Stegostoma tigrinum: one gene and its partners. The protein of the gene in region 4 purifies or fractionates together with the protein of the main gene of each other region. This does not show direct contact. Links are inferred from orthologs where the notes say so. Each region holds a gene or a part of one and is shown on either strand. Other genes may lie near its edges. The genes, in order: vti1b, vamp4, vesicle-trafficking protein SEC22b-like and alpha-soluble NSF attachment protein.

What was found.
Region 1: the proteins of alpha-soluble NSF attachment protein (region 4) and vti1b purify together in Homo sapiens (affinity purification with mass spectrometry; 3 studies listed by BioGRID and IntAct, counting the BioPlex papers as one, with this or other methods). This does not show direct contact. The link is inferred for Stegostoma tigrinum from reciprocal best matches to the Homo sapiens genes NAPA and VTI1B.
Region 2: the proteins of alpha-soluble NSF attachment protein (region 4) and vamp4 purify together in Homo sapiens (affinity purification with mass spectrometry; 3 studies listed by BioGRID and IntAct, counting the BioPlex papers as one, with this or other methods). This does not show direct contact. The link is inferred for Stegostoma tigrinum from reciprocal best matches to the Homo sapiens genes NAPA and VAMP4.
Region 3: the proteins of alpha-soluble NSF attachment protein (region 4) and vesicle-trafficking protein SEC22b-like purify together in Homo sapiens (affinity purification with mass spectrometry; 3 studies listed by BioGRID and IntAct, counting the BioPlex papers as one, with this or other methods). This does not show direct contact. The link is inferred for Stegostoma tigrinum from reciprocal best matches to the Homo sapiens genes NAPA and SEC22B.

What each region holds. Positions count from the first base shown.
Region 1 is NC_081363.1:69,072,992-69,080,596, forward strand, and holds the start of vti1b (vesicle transport through interaction with t-SNAREs homolog 1B), read right to left. Parts: upstream 3,001-7,605; 5' UTR 2,899-3,000; coding exon 2,802-2,898; intron 1-2,801. Other genes in the region: rdh12 (retinol dehydrogenase 12), read left to right, coding at 3,252-3,325. UniProt on the Homo sapiens protein: V-SNARE that mediates vesicle transport pathways through interactions with t-SNAREs on the target membrane. These interactions are proposed to mediate aspects of the specificity of vesicle trafficking and to promote fusion of the lipid bilayers.
Region 2 is NC_081361.1:32,182,255-32,189,693, forward strand, and holds the start of vamp4 (vesicle-associated membrane protein 4), read left to right. Parts: upstream 1-4,437; 5' UTR 4,438-4,737; intron 4,738-7,439. UniProt on the Homo sapiens protein: Involved in the pathway that functions to remove an inhibitor (probably synaptotagmin-4) of calcium-triggered exocytosis during the maturation of secretory granules.
Region 3 is NC_081387.1:19,111,160-19,118,698, reverse strand, and holds the start of vesicle-trafficking protein SEC22b-like, read right to left. Parts: upstream 3,012-7,539; 5' UTR 2,833-3,011; coding exon 2,758-2,832; intron 1-2,757. Other genes in the region: uncharacterized protein LOC125467682, read right to left, coding at 7,377-7,539. UniProt on the Homo sapiens protein: SNARE involved in targeting and fusion of ER-derived transport vesicles with the Golgi complex as well as Golgi-derived retrograde transport vesicles with the ER.
Region 4 is NC_081392.1:15,156,692-15,164,048, reverse strand, and holds the start of alpha-soluble NSF attachment protein, read right to left. Parts: upstream 3,008-7,357; 5' UTR 2,954-3,007; coding exon 2,856-2,953; intron 1-2,855. UniProt on the Homo sapiens protein: Required for vesicular transport between the endoplasmic reticulum and the Golgi apparatus. Together with GNA12 promotes CDH5 localization to plasma membrane.

The DNA of each region.
Region 1 (7,605 bases), on a different chromosome or scaffold from region 4:
AATGTGGTATACTGCATCCATTGTACCCGGTGTGGCTTCCTCTACATTGGGGAAACCAAGCGGACGCTTGGGGACTGCTTTGCAGAACACCTACGCTCAGTTTGCAGTAAACAACTGCACCTCCCAGACGCGAACCAGTTCAACTCCCCCTCCCATTCCGCAGATGACATGTCCATCCTGGGCCTCCTGCAGCACCACAACGATGCCACCCGTAGGTTGCAGGAACAGCAACCGTATCCCGCTGGGGACCCCGTCACCCAAAGGTATCAATGTGGATTTCACCAGCTTCAAAATCTGCCTTGCCCCCACTGCATCCCAAAACCAGCCCCGCTCGTCCCTGTCTCCTTAACCTGTTCTTCCTCTCACCTATCCCCTCCTCCCACCTCAAGCCATACCTCCATTTCCTACCTACTAACCTCATCCCGCCCCCTTGACCTGTCCATCCTCCCCTGACTGACCTATCCCCTCCCTACCTCCTCACCCTTACTCTTCTTTGTACCTATCTTCTCCTCTATCCATCTTCAGTCCGACTCCCCCATCTCCCTATTTATTTCAGAATCTTCTCCCCGTTCCTCCTCTCTGATGAAGGGTCTAGGCCCGAAACGTCAGCTCGTGCTCCTAAGATGCTGCTTGGCCTGCTGTGTTCGTCCAGCCCCACACTTTGTTATCCTGAATTCTCCAGCATCTGCAGTTCTCATTATCTCAGACCAGAATTGAATACAGCATTCCAAAAGTGGTCTAACAAATATCCTGTACAGCCAACACATGACTTCCCAACTTTTATACTCAGTACACTAACCAATAAAGACAAGTGTACCAAATGCCTTCTTCACTATCCTGTCTACCTCCAACTCTATTTTTAAGGAACAATGAACCTGCACTCCAAGGTCTCTTTCTTCGGCAACACTCCCCAGGACCTTACTGTTAAGGTGTGTAAGTCCTGCCCTGGTTTGTCTTACTAAAAGGAGTACCTCACATTTATCTCAATTAAATTCTATCTGCCACATCTCAGCTCATCTGTTTGAGATTCCGTTGTACTCTGAAATAATCTTCTTGGCTGTCCACTAAACACGAATTTGGTGGCATCACATCCAGATTATTTATAAAAATAATGAAAAGCAGCACACCACTGGTTATAGGCCTCCAGTCTGAAAAGCAACCCTCCAGCACCACTTTCTGACTCAAAGGTAGGAGACAGTCTGTATCCACATGGTTAGTTCACCCTGTACGTAATCTAACCTTGCTAACCAGTCTACTATGCAGAATCTTGTCAAACACCTCACTGAAACCCATATAGACCATATACACCATTCCTCTTTGTCACTTCTTCAAAAAACTCAATCAAGTCTGTGAAACATGATTCCCCACGCACAAAGCCATGTTGACTATCCCTAATCAGTCCTTGCCTTTCCAAATATTAGTAAATCCTGTCCCTCAGGATTCCCTCCAACAGCGTGCCCACCATCGATGTCAGGCTCACCAGTTTACAGTTCGCTGGCTTTTCCTTCCCACCTTTCTTAAATACTGGCACCACATTAACCAATCTTCAGTCTTTTGGCACCTCACCTGTGGCTATCAATGATACAAATATCTCAGCAAGGGGCCCAGCAATCACCTCCCTAGCCTACCTGATCAGATCCTGGGAATTTATCCATTTTAAGACATCCAGCACCACCTCATCAGTAACATGAGCCCTTTTCCAAGATATCACTATTTATTTCCCGTAGTTCTCTATCTTCCATATCCTTCTCCACAGTAAACATTGTTGCAAAATACTCATTTAGTATCTCACCCATCTCGGGGTTATAAATAATAAAGTCAGAGATGGTTTGTAGGTGTTATCGGCCAGACCAAACCCCTTTAAAATATATTGATAAGATAGCCTACCCCAACTTTTTCTTATTTTAAAAAGGCAAGTGTAAGGCATTGTGTTCCAGATGCAATGCGATTGGTCAAACTATTCAACTTTCAGGAAAACATGCTTTATTTTTACACTACAGTTAAAGTCCAGACAAAATAAAAAGAAAAGGAAAGAATTGGCTTAACTGTAACTCTATAAAAATGCCTTAAATAATAAAGTACGTATTAACTACTAATTAACTGTCCAAATATAGTAACATCCCATAAATACTGTTGAGAAAGGTAAACTCAGTCAAATAGATCGTCTCACATGCAATTCTAACAACAAGACCCAAGCAACTGCAGAAAGCTAAAACTAAAAATCCTGGTTCTGAGAGAGTTGAACCCGACCCATTCAGCCTGCTTCTATTGCTCCAACTTTAAAAAAACACCCAAGTCCTCACAAGCTGTTTAATTATCTTTGAGCAGACCACTGAGCACCTAAGTCTCAACCTTCCTTTATAAAAGAAAAACAGGACAAAATAAACCTTTTAAGCCATTGTATCATCACAAAGCAGAGAAAAGATGCCAGTGAGAGGAAGGGCCGTCTGTTTTGGCTATCATTTTCAGTGTTGATGATTTCACAAAGTTACAGTGACAGCTAGTTTTGAACTGGAACTGGAGTCCAAAAGGGTGTTCATTGCTGGACTTTACAGCATGCAAACTGGTGCTCTACGCAGGGCCAGTACAGGCCAGGGCTATACGCAGAACATATAGAGGTGAGGGCTGATTACATGCTGTACACAGTGAGAGGGAATGTCTCCCTAAAGGGGAGCAAATGGGAAATTCTCGTAAGAAGGGTCAGATCAGCCATGATATCATTGAATGGTAGAGCAGGCTCGAAGGACTGAATGGCCTACGCTCAAACCTCATAAAGAAAAAGCAGCATTTCTCAGTCTCACCTCCTGAATATCTAGGCAGGCGCTCACATTGACACCTCAGTTCCTCGAAAACACTACCAAAGGCTTCGTGCATCTTCTCAAACTCCTCGGATGACATCTTTAAAGTGATTTAAATCTCGATCTGGTACAAAACAAACAGCCGACAGCGACACAACGTCCGACTTTTCAAGCCCCGCCTCCTTCCGCAATCACATGACAATATACACACAACAACATCCCCCATCCCCGACCACAAAATCCTGAGGTTTTATCAACATCGTTACTTACTGCTTCAGCCACCATTTTCAGATCGTCATCTCCCCGCTAAAGGGGCAATAACCGAGTCTCTTAAGCCCCGGGGGGTTGGGGGAAGGAGACGGAGACGGACCGCGTGGCCCCGTGCATTCTGGGGGTTGTAGTCCCAGCCGCTTCTGGTTCCCCGGGGATTGGCCGAGCCCTTTCCTGCAGAAGATGCCGGTCTTGTTCACCATCATTGGGATCTCTGCAATTGCTGCTCTTCTGGCAGCATTTGGCCCATATATCAGGTCAGTATTTTCGCCTAAGGATGAATTCGAAGCCCTTCTTGGCTCTGTAAAGATAAAGTTAAATTGTATGTAATTTTACAAACTGTAAGCAGGCTTTTACTTAGTAATGTGGGTTCCAGCCCCTTGAAAAAATGTTACAATTTGTCACGAACAAATTGGGAGTTCAGTTGTATTCGTTAAACTAACACGCAATACAGAATACAGTTTTACGAAATCTGTTTATTTGAATAAGAAGCAAAATAATTGGGCTTTTGTAGATTATTTTCAAAGTACCTTGAGGAATCGTTCGAATTGATTGTGCAGGAAAGTACATCTTGCCGGTGTATTTTAACCATCTTTTGTTTTCTTGGCTGAACATTTGCTGCGGTTAAGTAAATCAGCCCATTCTCTCTGTACCCGAATAAAACTTTGCTTGTAAAAATAAAACCCTTCAAAGTGGTCATTTACATAATCAATCTTTTGTTCGCAGAAACCACTGCCCTGTAATTGTACAACATTTGCAACGTACTGCACGCAGAAGGCATGGACTTATAATCAGATCATGAGTTTGGGATAATAAAATGTGAGGCTGGATGAACACAGCAGGCCAAGCAGCATCTCAGGAGCACAAAAGCTGACGTTTCGGGCCTAGACCCTTCATCAGAGAGGGGGATGGGGGGAGGGAACTGGAATAAATAGGGAGAGAGGGGGAGGCGGAACGAAGATGGAGAGTAAAGAAGATAGGTGGAGAGGGTGTAGGTGGGGAGGTAGGGAGGGGATAGGTCAGTCCAGGGAAGACGGACAGGTCAAGGAGGTGGGATGAGGTTAGTAGGTAGCGGGGGGTGCGGCTTGGGGTGGGAGGAAGGGATGGGTGAGAGGAAGAACCGGTTAGGGAGGCAGAGACAGGTTGGACTGGTTTTGGGATGCAGTGGGTGGGGGGGAAGAGCTGGGCTGGTTGTGTGGTGCAGTGGGGGGAGGGGATGAACTGGGATTTCAGATACCTCTCACTTTGGCTACTTGCTGTTTCGGCTGATTTTTCAGTCACTGCTTTTCAGGATTAGTTCCTTATTGGATCAAAGGTGTTTCACTTGAAGCTAATAAAATGTGAGGCTGGATGAACACAGCAGGCCAAGCAGCATCTCAGGAGCACAAAAGCTGACGTTTCGGGCCTAGACCCTTCATCAGAGCGGGGGATGGGGGGAGGGAACTGGAATAAATAGGGAGAGAGGGGGAGGCGGACCGAAGATGGAGAGTAAAGAAGATAGGTGGAGAGAGTGTAGGTGGGGAGGTAGGGAGGGGATAGGTCAGTCCAGGGAAGATGGACAGGTCAAGGAGGTGGGATGAGGTTAGTAGGTAGCTTGGGGTGGGAGGAAGGGATGGGTGAGAGGAAGAACCGGTTAGGGAGGCAGAGACAGGCTGGACTGGTTTTGGGATGCAGTGGGTGGGGGGGAAGAGCTGGGCTGGTTGTGTGGTGCAGTGGGGGGAGGGGATGAACTGGGCTGGTTTAGGGATGCAGTAGGGGAAGGGGAGATTTTGAAACTGGTGAAGTCCACATTGATACCATATGGCTGCAGGGTTCCCAGGCGGAATATGAGTTGCTGTTCCTGCAACCTTCGGGTGGCATCATTGTGGCAGTGCAGGAGTCCCATGATGGACATGTCATCAAGAGAATGGGAGGGGGAGTGGAAATGGTTTGCGACTGGGAGGTGCAGTTGTTTGTTGCGAACTGAGCGGAGGTGTTCTGCAAAGCGGTCCCCAAGCCTCCGCTTGGTTTCCCCAATGTAGAGGAAGCCGCACCGGGTACAGTGGATGCAGTATACCACATTGGCAGATGTGCAGGTGAACCTCTGCTTAATGTGGAATGTCATCTTGGGGCCTGGGATGGGGGTGAGGGAGGAGGTGTGGGGACAAGTGTAGCATTTCCTGCGGTTGCAGGGGAAGGTGCCGGGTGTGGTGGGGTTGGAGGGCAGTGTGGAGCGAACAAGGGAGTCACGGAGAGAGTGGTCTCTCCGGAAAGCAGACAGGGGAGGGGATGGAAAAATGTCTTGGGTGGTGGGGTCGGATTGTAAATGGCGGAAGTGTCGGAGGATAATGCGTTGTATCCGGAGGTTGGTAGGGTGGTGTGTGAGAACGAGGGGGTTCCTCTTGGGGCGGTTGTGGCGGGGGCGGGCTGTGAGGGATGTGTCGCGGGAAATGCGGGAGACGCGGTCAAGGGCGTTCTCGATCACCGTGGGGGGAAAGTTGCGGTCCTTAAAGAACTTGGACATCTGGGATGTGCGGGAGTGGAATGTCTTATCGTGGGGGCGGAGGCGGAGGAATTGGGAGTAGGGGATGGAATTTTTGCAGGAGGGTGGGTGGGAGGAGGTGTATTCTAGGTAGCTGTGGGAGTCGGTGGGCTTGAAATGGACATCAGTTACAAGCTGGTTGCCTGAGATGGAGACTGAGAGGTCCAGGAAGGTGAGGGATGTGCTGGAGATGGCCCAGGTGAACTGAAGGTTGGGGTGGAAGGTGTTGGTGAAGTGGATGAACTGTTCGAGCTCCTCTGGGGAGCAAGAGGCGGCGCCGATACAGTCATCAATGTACCGGAGGAAGAGGTGGGGTTTGGGGCCTGTGTAGGTGCGGAAGAGGGACTGTTCCACGTAACCTACAAAGAGGCAGGCATAGCTGGGCCCCATGCGGGTGCCCATGGCCACCCCCTTAGTCTGTAGGAAGTGGGAGGAGTCAAAAGAGAAGTTGTTGAGTGTGAGGACGAGTTCAGTTAGGCGGATGAGAGTGTCGGTGGAGGGGGCCTGGTCGGGCCTGCGGGACAGGAAGAAGCGGAGGGCCTTGAGGCCATCTGCATGCGGAATGCAGGTGTACAGGGACTGGACGTCCATGGTGAATATGAGGTGTTGGGGGCCAGGGAATTGGAAGTCCTGGAGGAGGTGGAGGGCGTGGGTGGTGTCACGGACGTAGGTGGGGAGTTCCTGGACCAAAGGGGAGAAAATGGAGTCCAGATAGGTGGAGATGAGTTCGGTGGGGCAGGAGCAGGCTGAGACGATGGGTCGACCAGGGCAGGCAGGTTTGTGGATTTTGGGAAGGAGATAGAAACGGGCCGTGCGGGGTTGGGGAACAATGAGGTTGGAGGCTGTGGGTGGGAGGTCCCCTGAGGTGATGAGGTCGTGAATGGTGTTGGAGATGATGGTTTGGTGCTCGGGTGTGGGGTCATGATCGAGGAGGCGGTAGGAGGTGGTGTCGGAGAGTTGGCGTCTGGCCTCGGCGATGTAGAGGTCAGTGCGCCATACTACCACTGCGCCACCCTTGTCTGCGGGTTTGATGGTGAGGTTGGGGTGGGAGCGGAGGGCTGCCCGTTCTGCGGGGGAGAGGTTGGAGTGGGTGAGAGGGGCGGAGAGGTTGAGGCGGTTAATGTCTCGACGACAGTTGGAGATGAAGAGGTCGAGGGAGGGTAGGAGGCCGGGGGGTGGTGTCCAGGAGGAGGACTTGTGTTGGAAGCGGGTGAAGGGGTCAGTGGAAGGAGGGTTGGGTTCCCGGTTGAAGAAGTAGGCAAGGAGGCGAAGACGGCGGAAAAACTGCTCTATGTCCGACCGTGACTGGTATTCGTTGATGTGTGGTTGTAGGGGGACAAAGGTGAGCCCCTTGCTAAGGACTGACCGTTCGTCCTCAGTCAGTGGGAGGTCTGGGGGGATGGTGAAGATGCGGCAGGGCTCAGTGTGGCTGTCTCCTCTGGGGTTGCAGGCTGTGGAGGTTGTGGGCGGAGCGATGAGGTCGTCGGCCGTGGGCGGGGTTCCGTCGGCCGTGGGCGGGGTTCCCCCACTTGAAGCTTTAGCTTTGTGAATGGTGTTACCCGATCTAAATTCTTCTCCCTGAACCTAACTACTTTCAGTCGGGATCTTTAAACTAATTAGCAAAACTAATCTTGTTCAGCAAAGCCAGATCTTACAAATGGTTTTTATTTCACATTTCCACGTGAACCATTTAACCATTAACCACGCTCTGTTCGGCAGAATAGGTGTTATTCCCACACAGCCTTGGTTTTGTACTGGGGGAAACTATTAATGCAGCACTATTTATTATGTAGCTTGGGAACTCCTAATGTTCAGTTTTCTGTAATTAAGTACTGAACAAGCTGCAAGAGAACGAGCGGGGGGGAGTCTTACGGAGATCTGAATAACATTGGCCATGGTGAGAAATCTGGAAAATAGCATGAGAAGTGAGACAAGCCAATTTTCAGACAGTTTTGAGATTATTGCTTGGGAGCAGCAAGATGAATAGTAAGAGGGATTAATGCTCAATAAGTCTTA
Region 2 (7,439 bases), on a different chromosome or scaffold from region 4:
TGGACGTCCATGGTGAATATGAGGTGTTGGGGGCCAGGGAATTGGAAGTCCTGGAGGAGGTGGAGGGCGTGGGTGGTGTCACGAACGTAGGTGGGGAGTTCCTGGACCAAAGGGGAGAAAATGGAGTCCAGATAGGTGGAGATGATCCCAGGCCCCAAGATGACATTCCACATTAAGCAGAGGTTCACCTGCACATCTGCCAATGTGGTATACTGCATTCACTGTACCCGGTGCGGCTTCCTCTACATTGGGGAAACCAAGCGGAGGTTTGGGGACCGCTTTGCAGAACACCTCCGCTCAGTTCGCAACAAACAACTGCACTTTCCAGTCGCAAACCATTTCCACTCCCCCTCCCATTCTCTAGATGACATGTCCATCATGGGCCTCCTGCACTGCCACAATGATGCCACCCGAAGGTTGCAGGAACAGCAACTCATATTCCGCCTGGGAACCCTGCAGCCATATGGTATCAATGTGGACTTCACCAGTTTCAAAATCTCCCCTTCCCCTACTGCATCCCTAAACCAGCCCAGTTCGTCCCCTCCCCCCCACTGCACCACACAACCAGCCCAGCTCTTCCCCCCCACCCACTGCATCCCAAAACCAGTCCAACCTGTCTCTGCCTCCCTAACCGGTTCTTCCTCTCACCCATCCCTTCCTCCCACCCAAAGCCGCACCCCCATCTACCTACTAACCTCATCCCACCTCCTTGACCTGTCCGTCTTCCCTGGACTGACGTATCCCCTCCCTACCTCCCCACCTATACTCTCTCCACCTATCTTCTTTACTCTCCATCTTCGGTCCGCTTCCCCTCTCTCCCTATTTATTCCAGTTCCCTCTCCCCATCCCCCTCTCTGATGAAGGGTCTAGGCCCGAAATGTCAGCTTTTGTGCTCCTGAGATGCTGCTTGGCCTGCTGTGTTCATCCAGCCTCACATTTTATTATCTTGGAATTCTCCAGCATCTGCAGTTCCCATTATCTCTTCCAGGTGCTGTGTAGTTTGGCCCAATATAGAAATCACTGATGAGCAAAACCACATGAGGTTACAGAACAATGACCAGCACTCTCATTCTCATCATATATCATGTCAGCAGCCTGGCTTCCACAAGTCTTCATGAACCTGAACAAAACAGTGCAGTCTTATTTGCAAGATTTAACTTACTGATGAGTTTGTTGAATTAGTATCCCTGTAAGTTTTCGAAAGAGTATGAAGACTTTACAGGCTGCTTGAAACATACATGCTGACTTGTTGAATTAACAGTTATAATGTGAAAATGTCAGTTTTGGCATTATTAATTGACCTCATTTTTTTAAAAAAAAGCACACGAATGTGTTTCATTTAGTAGTGAAAAACAGTGAAATGTTCATAGTTTTCATAAGCTCGCATTTCTACTAATTCCTTTTTTGCAGAGGCAACTTGAAACAGGTGTGGTGAGAATATTAGATGGTCAGTGGCCTATGAAGTTTGCAGCAAGTTGCTGCCCTGTTAAGCTACAGAAGGAGGAAAAAGCAGTATCCAAGTAAACAAAATCCAAGTGAAATGCTACAATGTGGAAAGCAAAGATAACAATCCCGTCAGCTTCCCTCCCTCCCATTCAATCATCCCAACTTAATTCCCTCAGCCTCCTTCCAAATGCACCAAACTCCCCCTTCTATTTAGAACAAGAACAAAGGACAAAGAAAATTACAGCCAGGAACAGCCCTTCAGCCCTCCAAGCCTGCATCACAACTAAAACCCCTAACCCTTCTGGGGACCGTATCCCTCTATTCCCATCCTATTCATTTATTTGTCAAGACGCCCTTTAAAAGTCACTATAGTATCTGCTTCCACTACCTCTCCTGGCAGTGAATTCCAGGCAACCACCACCCACTCTGTTAAAAAAAGCTTGCCTCGTACGTCACCTTTAAACCTTTCCCCTCACGCCTTAAACCCATGGCCCCTGGTAACTGACTGTTCCACCCTGGAAAAAAAGCTTCCGGCTGTCCACTCTATCTATGTCCTTCATAATCTTGCAGACCTCTATCAGGTCGCCCCTCAACCTCCATCGTTCCAGTGAGAACAACCCAAGTTTCTCCAACCTCTCCTCATAGCTAATGCCCACCATACCAGGCATCATCCTGGTAAATCTTTCCTGTATCCTCTCCAAAGTCACCACATCCTTCTGGTAGTGTGGCGACCAGAACTGAACACAATATTCCAAATGTGGCTTAACTAAGGTTCTATAAAGCTATAACATTACCTGCCAATTTTTTCAATGCTCCGGCCAATGAAGGCAAGCATGACGTATGCTTTGTTGACTACCTTTTCCACCTGCGTTGCCACTTTCAGTGACCTGTGAATCTGTAAACCCAGATCCCTCTTCCTATCAGTACTTTTAAGGGTTCCGCCATTTACTGTGTATTTTCCATCTGGATTAGACCTTCCAAAATGCATTACCTCACATTTTTCTGAATTAAACTCCATCTGCCATCTCTCCGCCCAAGACACCAACTTATCTATATCCTGCTGTATCCTTTGACGGTCCTCATCACTATCCACAATTCCACCAAACTTTGTGTCTTCAGCAAACTTACTAATCAGACCAGTTCCATTCTCTTCCAAATCATTTATGTATATTACAAACAGCAAATGTCCCAACACTGGTGCCTGATGGACGCCACTAGTCACAGCCCTCCATTCAGAAATGCACCCTTCCACTGCTACACTCTGTCTTCAGTGACTGAGTCACTTTTTTATCCATCTTGCAAGCTCACCTCTGACCGTGTGTGACTTTACCTTCTGTATCAGCCTGCCATGTGGGACCTTGTCAAAGGCCTTACTGAAGTCCACGTAGACAACATCCACTGCCCTACCCTCATCGATCATCTTTGTCACTTCTTCAACCAAGTTAGTGAGACACGAACTCCACTTCACTAAACCATGTTGCCTTTCACTAATATGCCCATTGATCTCCAGGTGGGAGTGAATCCAGTCTTGAAGAATCCTCTCCAATAATTTCCCTACCACTGAGAGATGGCTGTAATTAGCTGGATTATCCTTGCCAACTTTCTTAAACAAAGGAACAACATTGGCTATTCGCCAGTCCTCTGGGAACTCCCCTGTAGCCAGTGAGGATACAAAGATTTCCCTCAAGGCCCCATCAATTTCCTACCTTGCTTCTCTCAGTTTTCTGGTGCATATCCCATCATGCCCTGGGGACTTGTCTACCTTAATATTTTGCAAGACCCCCAATACCTCCTCCCTTTTGATCTCAACTTGATCCAAACTATTTACACACCCTTTCTCGGACTCATCACCCACCAAATTCTTCTCTATGATGAATACTGACACAAAGTACTCATTTAATACCTCACCCATTTCCTCTGGATCGACACAAAAAATCCCTTCCCTTTCCTTGAGTGGGCCAACCCTCTGCCTGGCTACCCTCTTGTTCTTTATATATCTGTAAAAAGACTTGGAATTTTCCTTAATCCTGTTGGCCAATGACTTTTCATGATGCTTTTTAGCCCTCCTGACTCCTTGCATATTTCTCCTTCTTTTCCTCTGACATTCCCAATTGTCATATTCCCAAACATCTTCCTATTCCCTCTCCTAACTTTCCCTTCCCTCCCGAATACTCCCTCACCCAATTCCGCCCACCTCCCTCTCATGCAATTCCCCACCCTCCCAAATCACCGTATCTCAATTCCCCCACTGAGTCCCCAACTTCCTCCCTTCTGATTCTCCCTCCCCCCAATTCCCAACCCTAGAGGAGACAGTGGCATAGTGGTAATAATACTGGTACACCAGGCTAATGCTCCAGGGGCACAGGTTTGATCCCTCCATGGCAGATGGTGAAATGTGTACTCTAGTAAAAAGTTTGGAATTAAAAGTTGGTGTCTGATGAAGGGTCTAGGCCCGAAACGTCAGCTTTTGTGCTCCTGAGATGCTGTTTGGCCTGCTGTGTTTATCCAGCCTCACATTTTATTATCTTGTAATAATGCCCACGTTGGTTATGGCTATGTTGAACCTTTAACTTCATTTTTCTACCTTTATACTCATTTGTCTGGTTTATTTCTGGTTTTTGTTTAAGATGGCACTGAAGAGTGGCGACATTATACAGCACTTTTCACCATATTTGTAACAAGTACATGGAACAAATACCCTTGACAATAAATAAATCAATGATACTAATGCCATTTCGATTGCCATAAAACCCCATCTGGTTCACTCATGTCCTTTGTAACTCCAGACCCATACCAATGAGGTTCACTTTCAAATGCCCTCTGGGTAATTCGGGAGGGTGGGGTAGTCTGTGGGCTGCCATTGATGCTCACATCCCAGCCACAAATAAAACTTACCTCCTTGTCACTCCTCATCCGTCCTGCCCCCAGGTTGACCATCCCTCCCACATGACATGATTCTCTCACTTCCAACCCCTCCCCCACAAAGCACACCGTTTCCATGGAGACGGGGGGGCGGGGCTTGTGTCGGTCCGAGGCCGCACTCTGCTGCAGCTCCCGGGGTCCAGAGAGAGGGGGAGGGAGAGAGTGCGAGTCCGGGCCAAGGCCCAGAAACATACAGAGAGAGAGTGATTGAGTGAGTCTAGGCCAAGGCCCAAGGCGAGATAGTGTCCAGGCTAAGGCCCCGAGAGAGACCAGGCCAAGGCCCGGGGCCCCGGGAGAGCGAAGCCGAGCTGACACAGTCAACCCGGGAGTGGGCGAGAGACACCAGGCCCTAGAGGCGGCTGGTGGAAGGTAAGGATGAGGCCCCGGACCGGAGGATCTGTCAGTGGGTGGGAGGACGGACGGACCGTGCCCCCACCGCCTCTTGGTCTCCTATTCCCGGGTCACAGAGAGCTACCCCACCCCAGGTCACAGCCCTACCCTCTTTAGCTTCCCACCCTCTTTTGCCCCACCCGTTACAGCCCCACTATTCCTGGGAATGCAGAGAACCACCTCAGCCCTGGTTGCAGCCCCACCATCCCTGGGGTAATGGAGAACTGACCCCTGCCTTGAGGACGCAGAGTTCCTGCTCCTACCGTTACAGAGGCCACCTCCCTCCCCAACCCCCGCCAATGCCTGCTGTTGGTCACCGAGGCTTGTACGCCCTGAGTTTATGTTACTGATCCAAATGTCTCCAAGTCACATAGCACAGAAGAGGCCCATCAAGCCTATGCTGACCTGTCTACACCTAATCCCAATTTCCAGCACTTGGCTGTAGCGCCTTGAATCTTATGACATTTCAAATGCACGTGTTTTGAGGCCTGCAGTCATTTACACTAAAATAATCAGAGGGTTAGATAGGGTGGATTGGGAGAGCCTTTTTCCTAGGACGGTGACGGCGAACATGAGGGGGCATAGCTTTAAATTGCGGGGTGAAAGATATAGAAGAGATGTCAGAGGTAGTTTCTTTACTCAGAGAGTAGTAAGGGAATGGAACGCTTTGCCTGCAACAGTAGTAGATTCGCCAACTTCAGATACATTTAAGTCGTCATTGGATAAGCATATGGACGTACATGGAATAGTGTAGGTTAGATGGGCTTGAGATCGGTATGACAGGTCGGCACAACATCGAGGGCCGAAGGGCCTGTACCGTGCTGTAATGTTCTATGTTCTATGTTCTATTTCAGAAATGGGAATCCAAGTCATGGGCGTCATTTATATTTTGGGATCCGAGGATACATATGTTATGATGTATATCCTCGGTCGTAAAGCACAGGTCCAACCAGCCTGTGCTGACCATAATCCTAAACTAGTCTGACCTGCCTGCACTTGGCTTATATCCTTGCAATGATTTCTTGTTTGTGTATTTGTCTAAATGTCCTTTAGATGTTGTAGCTGTACTCACACTCACCACTTTGTCTGGAAGTTCATTCCACACACACCACTCTTTTTAAAAAAAAATTGCCCTCATACCTTTTTAAAATCTTTTTTCTCTCAACTTAAAAATATGCCTCCTAGCTTTGAAATCCCTGACACCAGGAAAAGACACCTGCCACTCACCTTATCTGTCCCCCTTATGCTTTTATAAACCTCTATAAGGTCACTTTTCAACTTCCTACCCACTGTAAATGCTTGACCAGTGTTGGCTGTAGTGTAGAGAATCTTCATTTCTCCAATACTGAGGTGAGCTCTATACCTGCTCCTGCACTATTAACCTGGTGTCGCTAGGATCAATCTTAACCCCCTTAATTTGTAATCCCCATGATGCCCCTCTGTGATATAATCGGAAAGCATAATTTTAGATTTAATACAAGTGCAGCCTTCATACTCAAAACATCCAAAACTCTGCCTCTTGTACCCTAAGTTGTGCCAAATACTTAACACAGTGCTGACTTTGGCTCCCAGTGACACCTTGATTTTAAAATTCTCATCTTTGTTTTCAAATTACATCATGGCTTCATTCTGGCCTACTTCTTGATCCCTTTCAGCCTAACAGTCCTCCAAGATATCTCTCTCTCTCCAATTCTGGTCTCATTTTAACTCAGGCCAGTTTCAATCGCTTCACCGTTGTTAACTATGCCTTTAGTAGCCTCTGTGCTGAGCTCTGAAATTTGCCCCTGAAATCTATCACATTCTACCTTGCCTCCTTTGAGAGGCTCCTTAAATCTATATCTTTGCTTACATTTTTCACTATGCCTCATTATCTGGCTGAACTACAAACTTTGCAAGATAATATCCATGTGAAATGCTTTGGAATGTTTTACTCGATTCAAAGTGCTGCAGAGAGTTGCCATGTAAAACAAGTTGTTGCTTATTGCATCAGAATGTGCAAGGAATCTTTACAATCAATGAAATGTTTATGATGTTTAGTCACTGTTATATTGTAGAAAATGCAGCAATTTGCAATACGAAGATCCCATAAACTGCAGTTTGATAATGACCAGATATTCTGTTTCAGTGATGTTGTTTGAGGGATATGTACTATTTGAAAGCGTGCCATGGGATATTTTGAGAAAAGGACTTTTTAGTTTTGCCAGCTTTTCTCCTGAGATGCTAATAATTATTGGAATATGGTTTCCAATCAAGTCAGTGAAAGTTTGCAGGTGGGTTTTCTGTGGAGGACAACCTAGCTGAGTATGACCCTGTTTTACCTGACCTCTATGTATACACAATTATTGAGAAGACTGACCAAATAGTAATCAGTTGTAAGTCCTCTGGCAGGCTGTATCTGCAACCTCTCCTCACAAGTCCATGGAACCGAAACCAACTGTCAGAGTGCTATTGCAATTTAGGTTGTTTGGCCCACCTCAGACCAGGGTTTGAAGCTGGGTTTTCTAATCTATAAAGTTAAAAAGCTGTTGATGGCAATGCACGTAATGTTGTAAATGTTCAGGCCAATTGCACTGTTTATTTGACTTCAAGCAGATTCTGCTTTATAACAATGTTACATGTGCAGAATAACAAGCCACAAGTTTGGAAAGTGTGTGAGAATGATCTTCTGCAGGAGTTGTCTG
Region 3 (7,539 bases), on a different chromosome or scaffold from region 4:
CATTCTTATTCCTGAAGCCAGGAACACACTTTAGCACCATGCAGTCCTCCTGAAGCCTGGCTTTGAGACAACCACACAGTCACTATATCGTCCCGTTCCTCACATAGCAAGGTATGAGTCGTGGCAGGGGTGAAAAAACAGCATGTATTAATTTGGACAAGAGTTCCTGGGTGAGAGCACAGCACTAATGCACAGTCTGGTGAGTGCATTATCCTGGACCATTCATTGAGGGCCTGGCTTTTCAATGGCATGGAAGGTTCACCATGCTCCACCGGAACTTAATTGAGGGGTTAGAATAACAGATAGCCAGGTGAGAGTTACAGGCTTCTTTATATATACAATACTGGATAATCTACAAATCTTTAAATAAACTATAAAATCTACAATAATCTATAAAACTCTATTTCGACGACACTTGGAATATTATGTTCAGTTCTGGTCACCTCATTATAGGAAAGATGTAGAAGCTTTAGAGAGGGTGCAGAGGAGATTTACCAGGATGCTGCCTGGACTGGAGGGCAGGTCTTATGAGGAAAGGTGGAGGGAGCTCAGGCTTTTCTTATTGGAGCGAAGAAGGATGAGAAATGACTTGATAGAGGTGTACAAGATGATGAGAGGCATAGATAGAATGGATAGCCAGAGACTTTTTCCCAGGGTGGAAATTACTATTACAAGGGGGCATAATTTTAGGGTGACTGGAGGAAGGTGTAGGAGAAATGGCAGAGGTAGGTTCTTCATACAAAGAGTGGTGGGTGTGTGGAATGCACTGTCGGCAATGACTGTGGAGCTTTTCAGACTTTTAAGCAATTCTTGGATCAGCACATGGAGGACAGTGAAACGTAGGGTATGCAGGGTAGATTGATCTTAGTAGGACTATAGGTTGGCACAACATTGTAGGCCGAAGGGCCTGTACTGTGTACTGTTCTATGTTCTAACCCGGGAGTGAGTTCCAGACTGGAATCTAATCAAGGGGTTCAGATTGGTTATAAATAGAATAACAGATGTCTGGGAGTGAGTTACACAGTGGAATCTATTCGAGGGGTTCGGATGGTTTATATATAGAATAATGGATACCCGGGAGTGAGTTACAGACTGGAATCTAATCGAGGGGCTCAGATGGTTTATATATAGAATAATGGATACCTGGGAGTGAGTTACAGACTGGAATCTAATCGAGGGGTTCGGATGGTTTATATATAGAATAATGGATACCTGGGAGTGAGTTACAGACTGGAATCTATTCGAGGGGTTCGGATGGTTTATATATAGAATAATGGATACCTGGGAGTGAGTTACAGACTGGAATCTATTCGAGGGGTTCGGATGGTTTATATATAGAATAATGGATACCTGGGGGTGAGTTACAGACTGGAATCTATTCGAGGGGTTCGGATGGTTTATATATAGAATAATGGATACCTGGGGGTGAGTTACAGACTGGAATCTATTCGAGGGGTTCGGATGGTTTATGTATAGAATAATGGATACCTGGGAGTGAGTTACAGACTGGAATCTAATCGAGGGGTTCGGATGGTTTATGTATAGAATAATGGATACCTGGGAGTGAGTTACAGACTGGAATCTAATCGAGGGGTTCGGATGGTTTATGTATAGAATAATGGATACCTGGGAGTGAGTTACAGACTGGAATCTAATCGAGGGGTTCGGATGGTTTATGTATAGAATAATGGATACGGGGGGGGGGGGGGGTGAGGTACAGACTGGAATTTAATTGAGGGGTTTAGGTGGTTTGTATATAGAAACAGGTTTGATTCCATCCTCGGGTGGCTAACTGTGTGGAGTTTGTACATTCTCTCCATGTCTGTGGGGGTTTCCTCCCACAGTCCAAAGCAATGCAGGCTAGGTGGATTCGCCATGCTAAATTGACCACACAGTGTCCAGGGATGTGTAGGCTCGCTGGGTTAGCAGATTACATGGATAGGGTAGAGGGTGGGTCTGGGTGGGATGCTCTTTGGCGAGGTTGGTGCATACTTGATGGGCTGAATGGCCTGTTTCTGCACGGCATGGCTGATCCGACATTCCTCCTATCGGCTTTTCTGCCCTTTCCCCAAAACCCACGATTTCCTTGCTGATGAAGAATCCATCTACCTCACCCCTTAAACTCACAAGGACTCTTCCCAGCTTGCCGTTCCCCAACCTCTAACCCCAAACCCCAGGGCAGGGAGTTCCAAACACTTCCAAACAACCCTCAGAGAGAACACGGCTCTTTGGAGCAAACGCAGGGCTGACAGGCTGCAATGCTCGGTGCTGGCACTGTAGGAGGGTGTGACCTGGCCGCAAATTCCCAGGCGGCACAGGGTGTCACAATGCTGGCAAAACAACAATGCCACATGTACCAACCCTACCCCAGCCCTCCCTCCTCCTCCCCCCCATCACACCACCTCCAGGGCAATATCAACAGGGCATATGGGACTGTTAGCAATGCAAACTCCCAGCTGAGAGGCAAGTGTGTATGTGTGTGTGTGTGTGTGTGTGAGAGAGAGAGAGTGTGTGTGTATACTGGATGGCATTCACACAGCCAATTCCCCTTCTTTCTCAATAGGCCCTGAACTAATCTGACTTGTCCTTATATTCCATGCAAACCCAGATGTGTGTGTGTGCTCACATAGAGCTCCTTAGCCCTGAGAAGCTGAACAACAGCTAGACACAGTCAAAGAAAGCGTGCGAGACAGAGGAAGATCTCTCTCTCTCTCTCTGCCTTGCTCCCTGACACTCCCCTCCACCCGCCCCCTTTACCTGCTCATTCTCCTGCATGGAAGCGGCGAGAGGCAGCCCGTCCGCCACCCGGGCGATCATGGTCATCAGGATCATGCTGCTGCTGGGGGAGTGTAGGAGAGATGGAGAGAGGGAAGGTGTCAGAGAGAGAGAGCAAACAGCGGCCGTACGGAAACTCTGGGAGCCCCAGGGACACACTGACTGACGTGGCTCATTCCACGCTGCAGCTCCGCGTCAGCACCTCCCCTCAGCCTGAGGGGGCAGGGACACACAGGGAGGGAGGGGCAGGGAGAGAGAGGAGGGGCAGGAGGGAGAGAGGAAGGGGAGGGAGAGAGGGAAGGGAGAGAGAGGAGGGGCAGGAGGGAGAGAGGAGGGGCAGGGAGAGAGAGAGGAGGGAGAGAGGGAGGGAAGGGAGAGAGAGGAGGGGCAGGAGGGAGAAGAGGAGGGGCAGGATGCAGAGAGGGGGAGGGACAGAAAGGAGAGTGGAAGGGCAGTAGGTAGATAGGAGGGAGAAGAAGGGTAGGAGGGAGAGAGGGAGGGTAGGAGGGAGAGAGGGAGGGCAGGAGGGAGAACAGGATGAGCAGGGAGAGGAGGGGCAGAAAGCAGAGAGGGAGAGAGAGGAGGGGAAGGAGGGAGGGCAGAAAGCAGAGTGGGAGAGAGGAAGGGCAGTAGGTAGATAGGAGGGAGGGCAGGAGGGAGAAGAGGATAGGCAGGGAGAGAGGAGGGGCAGAAAGCAGAGAGGGAGAGAGAGGAGGGGAAGGAGGGAGGGGCAGAAAGCAGAGTGGGAGAGAGGAAGGGCAGTAGGTAGATAGGAGGGAAAGGAGGGAGGGCAGGAGGGAGAAGAGGATAGGCAGGGAGAGAGGAGGGGCAGAAAGCAGAGAGGGAGAGAGGAGGGGAAGGAGGGAGGGCAGGAGGGAGAAGAGGAGGGGCATGGAGAGAGGAGGGGCAGAAAGCAGAGAGGAGGGGAAGAGGCAGAGATAGAGCGAGAGAGGAGGGGCAGGAGGGAGAGAGGAGGGGCAGGAGGCAGAGTGGGAGGGCAAGAAGGGGAGAGCAGGGTCAGCGGCAGAGATGGAGAGAGCAGGGGCAGGACAGAGAGAGGAGGGTCAGGAGCATAAATGGTGGTGGAGGGAGAGGGGCAAGAGGAAGAGGGGCGGGATGGAGGGCAGAGAGGAAGAAGGATAGAAGAGGGAGTGAAAGTGAGGAAGCAGGAGGAAGAGGGGGGGGGAAGGAAGGGGCTCAAAGGAGAGGGGGCAAAAGGGAGGAGTCGGGAGTTTGGAGGGGAGAAGGGAGAGAGAGGATGGAGGGAAGAGGGATAGAGGAGGGGGGGCAAGAGAGAGAAAGATGGGGGCAGGAAGGAGAGACAGGGCAGGAGGGTGCAAGAGAGACGGAGAGATGGGTAAAGGAGAAAGAGGAGGGAGAAGTGGGGACAGAGAGGAGTGAGGGTGGAGAGGGATAGAGGAGGGAGTGAGAGTGAGGGGTCAGGAATGAGAAGGGGGGGTGAAAGAAAGGGCTCAGAGGAGACTGGGCTGGGGAGAAGGGAGGGGTGGGGGGTTTGGAGAGGGAGAAAGGAGAGAGAGAGGACAGAGGGGAGAGGTATAGAGGAGGACAAGGGAGAGGAGGGAGAGAAGAAAAGAGTTGCGGTGGAGAGAGAGAGAGAGAAGGCAGTGGAGAGGCAGATGGGACAGAGAGATGGGGCAGGAGAAGGACAGGGGGTGCAGGAGAGGGGCAAGAGAAACAGAGAGGGGGGTACAGGAGAAAAGGGTTTCAGGGAGGGGGGTGTCAGGAGGGAGTGGGCCATGAGAAAAGCTCCCCCGACTGGCCGACCTTGAGCCTGCCCTGCCAATAGATACTGTCACACAGCAGGTGTCCTGGTCAAATGCCAGTTGCATCCTGCAGGTTCCTGAGCTGACAGTGACGTGGCAAGGTGGGCCCACACTTTGCCCTTTCAAACTAACGCTTGCAGAAGGTTCGATGCGAATCGAGGTGCTTTTGTTGGTGTTTATGTTCAGGTGGGTGTCTGTAAACCATCGGCCCGACTAGGGGATCCCGCACCCCTCTGAGACCACCGATAAGAGAGAAAGCACACAACGTGACGATGATAAAAGTGGGAGCAATCTCAGTTTTATTTCACACTGTTACACTGAATTGCCTGGATGATTGCAGCCCCAAAAATACTTGAGCATATTGACACTGTCCAGGAGAAAACAGCCCTAGGATTGACGTTACATCCTGAACCATCCCCTCCCACCCCCACCAACGCTCCGTGGCAGCAGCGTGTACCATCTATAAGATGCTCTGCAGAAATTCACCAAAGATCCTCAGACAGCACCCTCCGAACCCCCGACCACTTCTGTCTCACGCAGAAGATAGATGGAAACACCCCACCATCTGCAAGTTCCCCCTCAGATCCACTCGCCATCCCTGCTTGGAAATATGTCAGCGTTCCTTCACTGTCAGCGGGCCAAAATCCTGGAATTCCCTCCTTCGGGGCATTGCGGGTCGACCCACAGCGACAGTGCAAGATGGCAGCTCACCCTCACCCACCTTCTCAGACAGGGGGCAACTAGGGCAGTAAAATGCTGGCCTGGCTAGTGACTTCTGCCAGATTAACTGGCATGTGCCTGATCCACTCCACACTGACGCCATGCTCCGAATGGGGCAGGGGCCAAGTCACAATGCTTCCTGACGGTACCGAAGAGGGATGTGGATGGGAGGGTGGCATTCCCCAGCACTCCCTTTTTCCCTGTATCCCTCCCCGGCCTCCAACACTGGTGGTGGATAGACTGGATAGAGTTAGACATTGGCGTAATCCCGCCCCGACCATGCCCGTACCCACTGGAGGGGCTTGTGAGGGTGTGTGGGCTGGGGAGGAACTTGGCAATTGAGTCCTGCATTTGTGTGGTGCCTCCTGCGCGGAAACAAGGCACTCAGGACCCATGGGGAGAAACTGGCCAGCCCTGGCCAAAAGGGTGTCATCACCAGAGGTCGGAGGCTGATCGACACATTGGGTTACAAGCTGCACCTCACAGGAGATGGTCTGGGGTGGAAGGTGGGGGCGGCGGGGAGGGGAAAGGGTTAACTACAGATCCATGGAATTGCTGGGCGGAGAGGTTGGCGAGGGGGCAAAAGCAGGAGCCAGGGCCGGGAGTCGGGGTGACAGTGAATTGAGGTGGCCTGCTGTTAGCGGGCCCGTGTTAAACATTTTCCCCTCGGGGGGTGGGGGGGGGGGGGCGGTGGGTGTGCAGTAGCCCAGCTCTGAGCAGTCACATGTTTTCATTCCCGTAGGGGCCAGGACCCGGTGCCAGTCCGTCTGCAGTTTTCTCAGGTGGTCTGCCGTCTGCATGCTGTTGTCCCGGGCTTGATGGATGGACAGTCAGATTCACCACCATTGCCCTGCAGCTGACGGGCCGCTTCCTCTGTCCTCACGCTCCCCGGCCTAGGGCGCTCCTCGATTCCTGAACAAAGACATGCCAAGGCCTCCGGTTGGAGGCGATGGTCGAAAGAACCAGCCGAAGGTGGAAGGGAAGGGTCAGAACGTAGGGTTGCAGTCTATAACAAGTCATATTTCCTGGTTTTACTGTAGACTGCAGTCAGTTCACTGGTGCCACTTCATCCCAGTGTGGGCCTGATGGTGTGAATTTTGCTGTGTGTGTCTGTGCCTGTCACAGTGTGTTCTGTCTTTGTGTGTGTGTGTGTGTGTGTGTGTGTGTGTGTGTGTGTGTGTGTGTGTGTGTCCATATCTGCGTGAGAGTGTGTGTGTCCATATCTGCGTGAGAGTGTCTGTGTGTGTGTGTGTGTGTGTGTCCATATCTGCGTGAGAGTGTGTGTGTGTGTGTCCATATCTGCGTGAGAGTGTGTGTGTGTGTGTCCATATCTGCGTGAGAGTGTGTGTGTGTGTCGTTCAGTTCCTACTATCTCTGACTGAGTGTGTGTGTGTGTGAACATAGAACATAGAACAGTACAGCACAGAACAGGCCCTTCAGCCCACGATGTTGTGCCGACCATTGATCCTCATGTATGCACCCTCAAATTTCTGTGACCATATACATGCCCAGCAGTCTCTTAAATGACCCCAATGACCTTGCTTCCACAACTGCTGCTGGCAACGCATTCCATGCTCTCACAACTCTCTGTGTAAAGAACCCGCCTCTGACATTCCCTCTATACTTTCCACCAACCAGCTTAAAACTATGACCCCTCATGCCAGCCATTTCTGCCCTGGGAAATAGTCTCTGGCTATCAACTCTATCTATGCCTCTCATTATCTTGTATACCTCAATTAGTGTGTGTGTGTGTGTTTGTGTGTGTGTGTTTGTGAGTGTGTGTTTGTGAGTGTGTGTGTTTGTGAGTGTGTGTTTGTGTGTGTGTGTTTGTGAGTGTGTGTGTGAGAGTGTGTGTGTGAGAGTGTGTGTGTGAGAGTGTGTGTGTGTGTGTGTGTGTGAGTGTGTTTGTGTGAGTGTGTTTGTGTGAGTGTGTGTGTGTGAGTGTGTGTTTGTGAGTGTGTGTTTGTGAGTGTGTGTGTTTGTGAGTGTGTGAGTGTGTGTTTGTGTGTGTGTGTGAGTGTGTGGAGGTGGAAGGGAGGGGTGTGGTGTTTCCTTCTCCCACTCCTTTTTGATCTCTTGTGCCACTGGGGTGCCCACCTAGTTGGAGTTGGCCCGGCGTTGGGACATGCCCTTCAGCAGAGGGGAGAAGATGGAGGGCCGCCTCTCCTCCTGGACCCTGGCTGCTGCCCTCCTCGGTGCCAGTCCCGGAGGCAGGTGTGCCCGCTGCTCGTCCATACGCTGTTCCTGCATTCGCTGTAGC
Region 4 (7,357 bases):
TTCAAAAGCAGCTAAGTACTGTAGTGTGTCCTCACATGCTCAATTCAGGTAACACTGGATGGTGATCAGAGATAATGGGAACTGCAGATGCTGGAGAATCCGAGACAACAAAGTGTGGAGCTGGATGAACACAGCAGGCCAAGCAGCATCTTAGGAGCACAAAAGCTGACGTTTCAGGCCTAGACCCTTCATCAGATGAAGGGTCTAGGCCCAAAATATCAGCTTTTGTGCTAAGATGCTGCTTGGCCTGCTGTGTTCATCCAGCTCCACACTTTGTTAACACTGGATGGTGAATGGTAGCCCATGAAATGTAACTTGCTGCCAGTGCTTTATGATTGAAGGTGGGTATGAACGTCAGCCCAGTGTTTGCCATTCAACTTTAGCTAATTGGAATGATGGCCATTGAAAAGTTGTTTAAAACCATTTCAAAAATCACTGTTCAACTGCAGAAACAAACTGGAATATGACAATAACTGCTACAGAACAAAACAATGGTTGTCAAACTCATTGGTCCCAAGTGCCCCAATGACAACTCAGAAGAACAAAAGAATATAATTCACTTTAGGGGTCACTGTAATGCACAGGTAGCACCCCTACCTTTGGGCAAAGAGGTTCAAATTTCACCGGCCTGGAGATGTGTTGTAACAGATTAAAAATAATTATGGCTGACATTTCAGGAGATGAATCCAGTCCTAAAATTGCAAATCAAATAACAAGATACAAGCTTATATTCATGGCTCATCCAAACTGTTGAAACCACAACGTAAATTCATACAGCATCTCTCCTGTACACAACATTCCAAAGACTTGGAACTTGAATACTAGACAAAAATTACATTTTCATAGTTAGCTTCCATATAGTTTTCAACCTGCTCATGGATTCAGTGACAATATAGTGAAGGAGACAGAGACAGAATTACAGGACAGCTGCACCACTGTATCACCAAAAGCTTGTGGCCTCCACACTGTTCAAAGCTCCTTTAAAAGTTCACATAATAAAATTGTAACATGTTAACGGGAGAGTCAAAAGATCACGGACAGGTGTCCCAATCTAGAGACATGGCCATCCAATCTTCATAGGCACTTTTCTGCAGCACTGAGGGGACATACACATCAGTGTGGTGCCATTAGTGAATGCTCATGGGGTTACTAATTACTAGTCCAATGATGTTACTACCTAACCACTGCCTCTGGCAATGGGACTTGCTGTGTGCAAATTGACTGCTACATGACCAAAATTGCAATAGCCACTACAAAGCAGTTGTTGGCTATCATGTTCTTTGATAAATCCAGAAGTCATAGGAGCCCTACAATTGCAACATTTCCTTGTCAAATAAAACTCTAGCATTGATGCAGGCTGTCAACTGAGCTGAAGTGTTTGTTTATTGCAAGGTAGTCAGGGAAAAAAGAGACGTCAAATTAATCCCTGATCATCATTAAAACTTCTCCCTAGGTAAACTGTCCAATGCAATGTTTTAGCAATAAAATACAACTTTATTTAAAAGGCACTCACTGATTTTAGGCTCCTGAAGGGATAAGATGTTTATTAAACTAAATTGGCTGGATTAAAAAAATTAGACAATTTATTTATGGAACAGATCAGCTGCAAAATGGAGCATTCAGCAGATTCATCCACAGATGAACCTAATCCAAATTACTGAATTTATCACACTAACCTCAGCCTGTCACTGTCAAGCTTGAGGGGCACTGGGCCTTTCAATAATTATGCGTAGGAGCTTCTGAACTCAAGTCCATTGAGTCCATTTGTTATAGCAGGAACAAACTGTATCACATCTTTGAGGGCATTTCATGACCAGTTACTTCCAAGAATTCACTCAAGCATATGGAAGCAACAATCAACACAGACAGAAAGCAAGACACAAGATCAATTAGCATTATAAATAGGAATTACAGATCGATTCACACCATTAGAACATGAAGATCCGACTGTGCAGACAAAACTTAGGGTGTGCACTGTAGACAAGAAACAACACTGCTCAATATGCAATGTTGACCTGTCAGATTAGATTACTGGCTCAAGAGCTAAAGGCAAACATGAGATAACCCACTGAAGGCCTGGCTTAATAACCACACCTGACATTAGTGTTTGTTAAATCTTTACTCAGAGTGGTAAGGGCATGGAATGCCCTGTTTGCAACAATAGTAGACTCACCAACTTCAAGAGCATTGGATAAATATATGGATGATAATGGAAGAGTGTAGGTTAAATAGGCTTCAGATTGGTTTCACAGATCAGAACAACAGCAAGGGCTGAAGGGCCTGTACTGTACTGTAATGTTCTATGTAAATCAGGCTCAAAAAGTAACAGCAAGCTTATATTAACCAGCCTTGTAGGACCCACAGTAGGCTGTACATTTACTAACCAGTTCAAGAACAGACAACCAGTGTTTATTAGCCTAGCCCTGCAAGGACTACCCCTCACCTCAAACTTATCAACCTGCTCCTGGATAGATCTCTCTCCCACCCTCCCCAGAGGGTGTTAACCAGGCCCTTACATGGAACATCACCCCACCCACCCCAGGTTTATTAACCAGCCCCTGCACTGACACTCCCCAAATTCCCAAAACCCCTGCCCAGTCGCCTCAGGGCTTTGGTCAGCTCAGCCTGGCCTGGCCTGGCCCGGCCCGGCCCAGCGCGCACACACACACACACACACCGCCCCCCCAGGGTTTGGTCAGCCCTGCGCTGCCCCTGCCCGGGACACCCCCCAGGGTTTGGTCGGTTTGGTCAGCCCTGCCCCTGCCCCTGGCCGGGACACCCCCCCAGGCTTTGGTCAGCCCGGCCCAGCTCAGACACCATCCCGCAAAGAGGCGGCATGTTTATTAACCACTCACCCGAACAAGGACGCCATGAAGGATCGGGCCGAGCGGACCTTCTTCTCGGCCTCGGCCATCAGGCCCATTGCCTCCCGCTCCTTGGCCGAATTGTCCATCGCCGCTCGAGCCCCAGCCGCGACCACTCTCCCGACGTCACTTCCGCCGCCCTTAAACCCCGCCCCGGGCCACCGCCCCATCACGTGATCCCCGGGTGGGGAAGACTTGCTCAGAGCATCCTCAGCTTTCTGTGCAGTCTGCTGCAAGAGGAAGAGATTGTTTTATTCGAAATAAGGTGATCAAAATCTCACCTCCATTTGCAAATCGACAATGGTAGATTAATGTTTGTGATACAGGACTGCCAACTCAGAGGCTGGGTCCATTGATCTGGAAATTGATTTATTTCAATAAAATTGGAATAAAAGGCTATTCTCAGTATTGGTGAACGCGAATCTACTGATTGCCATAGAATACCCATCTGTAGGGAGAGGCTGGGGCTCTGGAGCGTTGGAATCCGAGGGGTCCCTTATAGTGGTTTATAAAATCATGAGGGGCACGGATACGGTGAATGGCCAAAGTGTTTTCCCTGGGTTAGCAGAGTCCAAAACCAGAAGGCGTAGTGAAAAGGACCTGAGGGGTAACTTTTTCACGTTAGTGCATGTATGGAATGAGCTGTCGGAAGAAGTGGTGACCTTAACAGAGATTTATAAAATCATGAGGCACATGGATAGGGTAAATAGAGAAAGTCTTTTCCCTGGGTGAAGGAGTCAAAAACTAGAGGGGCATAAGTTTAAGCTGGGAGGCAAAAGATTTAAAGGAGACCTAAGAGGCAACGTTTTCACACAGAGGGTAGCACGTATATGGAATGAGCTTCCAGAGAAAGTGGTGGAGGCTGGTACAATTACGACTTTTAAAAGGCATCTGGATGTGTTCATGAATGGGAAGTATTTAGAGGGGCATGGGCCAAATGCTGCCAAATGGGACTAGATTAATTTAGCATATCTGGTCGATGTGGATGAATTGGACCAAAGGGTCTGTTTTCCTGTTGTACATTGTCTATAACTGCACAAGTGGTTGTGATCTAGAATAAGCTGTCTAAAAAAGGGAGGTGGATTCAATAAGGCTTTCAAAAGAGAAATAATCATTAGAAGTAAGCTTTCTACTTTAGTACTGAGTGGGTGTTCAGATAAGTGGGGTATGGATGCTAGGGCAGTTGCTTGGCCCTCCTGCAGAATGTGGCAGTTGGGAGACGTGGCACACGTCTCCGCTGGCTACATCTGCGGGAAGTGCACCCAGCTACAGCTCCTTGAAAACCGTGTTAGGGAAATGGAGCTGGAACTGGATGAACTACGGATCATTCGGGAGGCAGAGGGGGTAATTGAGAGGAGTTACCGGGAGTTGGTCACTCCTAAGGCTCAGGACAAGGATAGATGGGTTACAGTTAGGGGGAGGAAAGGGGACAGACAGACAGTGCAGAGATCCCCTGTGGGCATTCCCCTCAGCAATAAGTATACCGTTTTGGATACTGCTGGGGGGGATGACCTACCAGAGGAAAGCCATAGTAGTCAGTTCTCTGGCACTGAGCCTGACACTGTGGCAAAGAAGGGAAGGGGGCAGAATAGAAAAGACTCGTGGTAGGGGACTCGATAGTTAGGGGAATTGACAGGAGATTTTGTGGTCAGGATCGGGATTCCCAGAAGGTATGTTGCCTCCCTGGTGCCAGGGTCTGGGACGTCTCTGATCGGGTGTATAAGGTTCTAAAAGGGGAGGGCGAACAGCCAGAAATTGTGTTACATATTGGCACAAATGATATAGCCAGAAATAGGATTGAGGATATAAAAAGTGATTTCAGGGAGTTAGGATGGAAGCTGCAGAGCAGGACGAACAGAGCAGTGTTCTCTGGTTTACTACCAGTGCCACGAGATAGCGAGGCGAGGAACAGGGAGCGGGCGCAGCTGAACACGTGGCTGCGCAACTGGTTAGGAGGGAGGGCTTCAGATATGTAAATAATTGGGATGCCTTCTGGGGAAGGTGGGACCTGTACAAGATGGACGGGTTGCATCTGAACTGGAAGGGGACCAATGTCCTGGGTGGAAGGTTTGCTCGAGTAGTTCGAGAGGGTTTAAACTAGTATGGCAGCGGGGTGGGAACCTGAGCTGTATACCGGAGGTGAGAGTTGATGCAGGTGAGGCAGTAGCAAGAGGTAGACCAGCTAGTGGGAAGGATTTTCCTGGAAAGGAACCAAGGGATCGGTTAAAGTGTGTTTGCTTTAATGCAAGGAGTATCAGGAATAAAAGTGATGAACTTAGAGCATGGATCAGTACCTGGTGCTATGATGTTGTGGCCATAACAGAGACATGGGTTTCTCATGGGCAGGAATGGTTGCTGGATGTTCCAGGGTTTAGAACATTTAAAAAGAATAGGGAGGGGGGAAAAAGAGGAGGGAGTGTAGCACTACTAATCAGAGAGGGGATCACAGCTACAGAAGCTTCCATTGTCGAGGAAGATCTGCCTACTGAGTCAGTATGGGTGGAAATTAGGAACAGCAAGGGAGTAGTCACCTCGTTAGGGGTTTACTACAGGCCCCACAATAGCAGCAGGGAGATTGAAGAAAGCATAGGTCGACAGATTTTGGAAAAGTGTGGACGCAGTAGGGTTGTTGTAATGGGTTACTTTAACTTTCCTAATATTGATTGGAACCTGCTTCGAGCAGAAGATTTGAATGGAGCTGTTTTTGTAAGGTGTGTTCAGGAGGGTTTCCTAACGCAGTACGTTGACAGGCCGACGAGGGGAGAGGCCATTCTAGACTTGGTGCTCGGAAACGAGCCGGGGCAGATATCAGATCTCGTGGTGGAAGAGCATTTTGGTGATAGTGACCATAACTGCCTCACATTCTACATAGCTATGGAGAAGGAGAGGATTAGGCAAAATGGGAGTATATTTAATTGAGGAAGAGGAAACTATGATGCGATTAGACACGAGTCAGGAAGCATGGACTGGGAGCAATTGTTCCATGGTAAGGGAACTATAGACATGTGGAAACTGTTTAAGGAACAGTTGTTGCGAGTGATGAGTAAATATGTCCCTCTGAGACAGGCAAGAAGGGGTAAGATAAAGGAACCTTGGATGACAAGAGCGGTGGAGCTTCTTGTGAAAAGGAAGAAGGTAGCTTACGTAACGTGGAGGAAGCTAGGGTCAAGTTCAGCTAGAGAGGATTACTCGCAGGCAAGGAAGGAGCTCAAAAATGGTCTGAGGAGAGCCAGGAGGGGGCACGAGAAAGGCTTGGCAGAAGGAATCAGGGAGAACACAAACGCATTTTACACTTAGGTGAGGAATAAGAGAATGGTCAAAGAAAGAGTAGGGCCGATCAGGGATAGCATAGGGAACTTGTGTGTGGAGTCTGAGGAGGTAGGGAAAGCCCTTAATGAGTTTTTTGCTTCTGTCTTTACGAAAGAAACGAACTTTGTGGTGAATGAAACCTTTGAAGAGCAGGTGTGCATGCTGGAATGGATAGAGATAGAGGAAGCTGATGTGCTGAAAATTTTGTCAAACATTAAGATTGACAAGTCGCCAGGCCCGGACCAGATTTGTCCTCGGCTGCTTTGGGAAGCGAGAAATGAAATTGCTTCGCCACTTGTGAGGATCTTTGCATCCTCGCTCTCCACTGGAGTCGTACCTGAGGACTGGAGAGAGGCAAATGTAATTCCTCTCTTCAAGAAAGGAAATAGAGAAATCCCCGGCAATTACAGACCAGTAAGTCTCACGTCTGTCGTCTGCAAGGTGTTAGAAAGGATTCTGAGGGATAGGATTTATGACCATCTGGAAGAGCATGGCTTGATCAAATACAGTCAACACGGCTTTGTGAGGGGTAGGCCATGCCTCACAAACCTTATCGAGTTTTTTGAGGATGTGACTAGAAAAGTTGATGAGGGTCGAGCTGTGGATGTGGTTGGTGTATATGGACTTCAGTAAGGCATTTGATAAGGTTCCCCATGGTAGGCTCATTCAGAAGGTCAGGAGGAATGGGATACAGGGGAACTTAGCTGCTTGGATACAGAATTGGCTGGCCAACAGAAGACAGTGAGTGGTAGTAGAAGGAAAATATTCTGCCTGGAAGTCAGTGGTGAGTGGGGTTCCACAGGGCTCTGTCCTTGGGCCTCTACTGTTTGTAATTTTTATTAATGACTTGGATGAGGGGATTGAAGGATGGGTCTGCAACGTTGCAGACGACACAAAGGTCGGAGGTGTCGTTGACGGTATAGAGGGCTGTTAGGCTGCAGTGGGACATTGACAGGATGCAGAGATGGGCTGAGAGGTGGCAGATGGAGTTCAACCTGGATAAATGCGAGGTGATGCATTTTGGAAGGTCGAATTTGAAAGCTGAGTACAGGATTAAGGATAGGATTCTTGGCAGTGTGGAGGAACAGAGGGATCTTGGTGTGCAGATACATAGATCCCTTAAAATGGCCACCCAAGTGGACAGGGTTGTTAAGAAAGCATATGGTGTTTTGGCTTTCAATAAC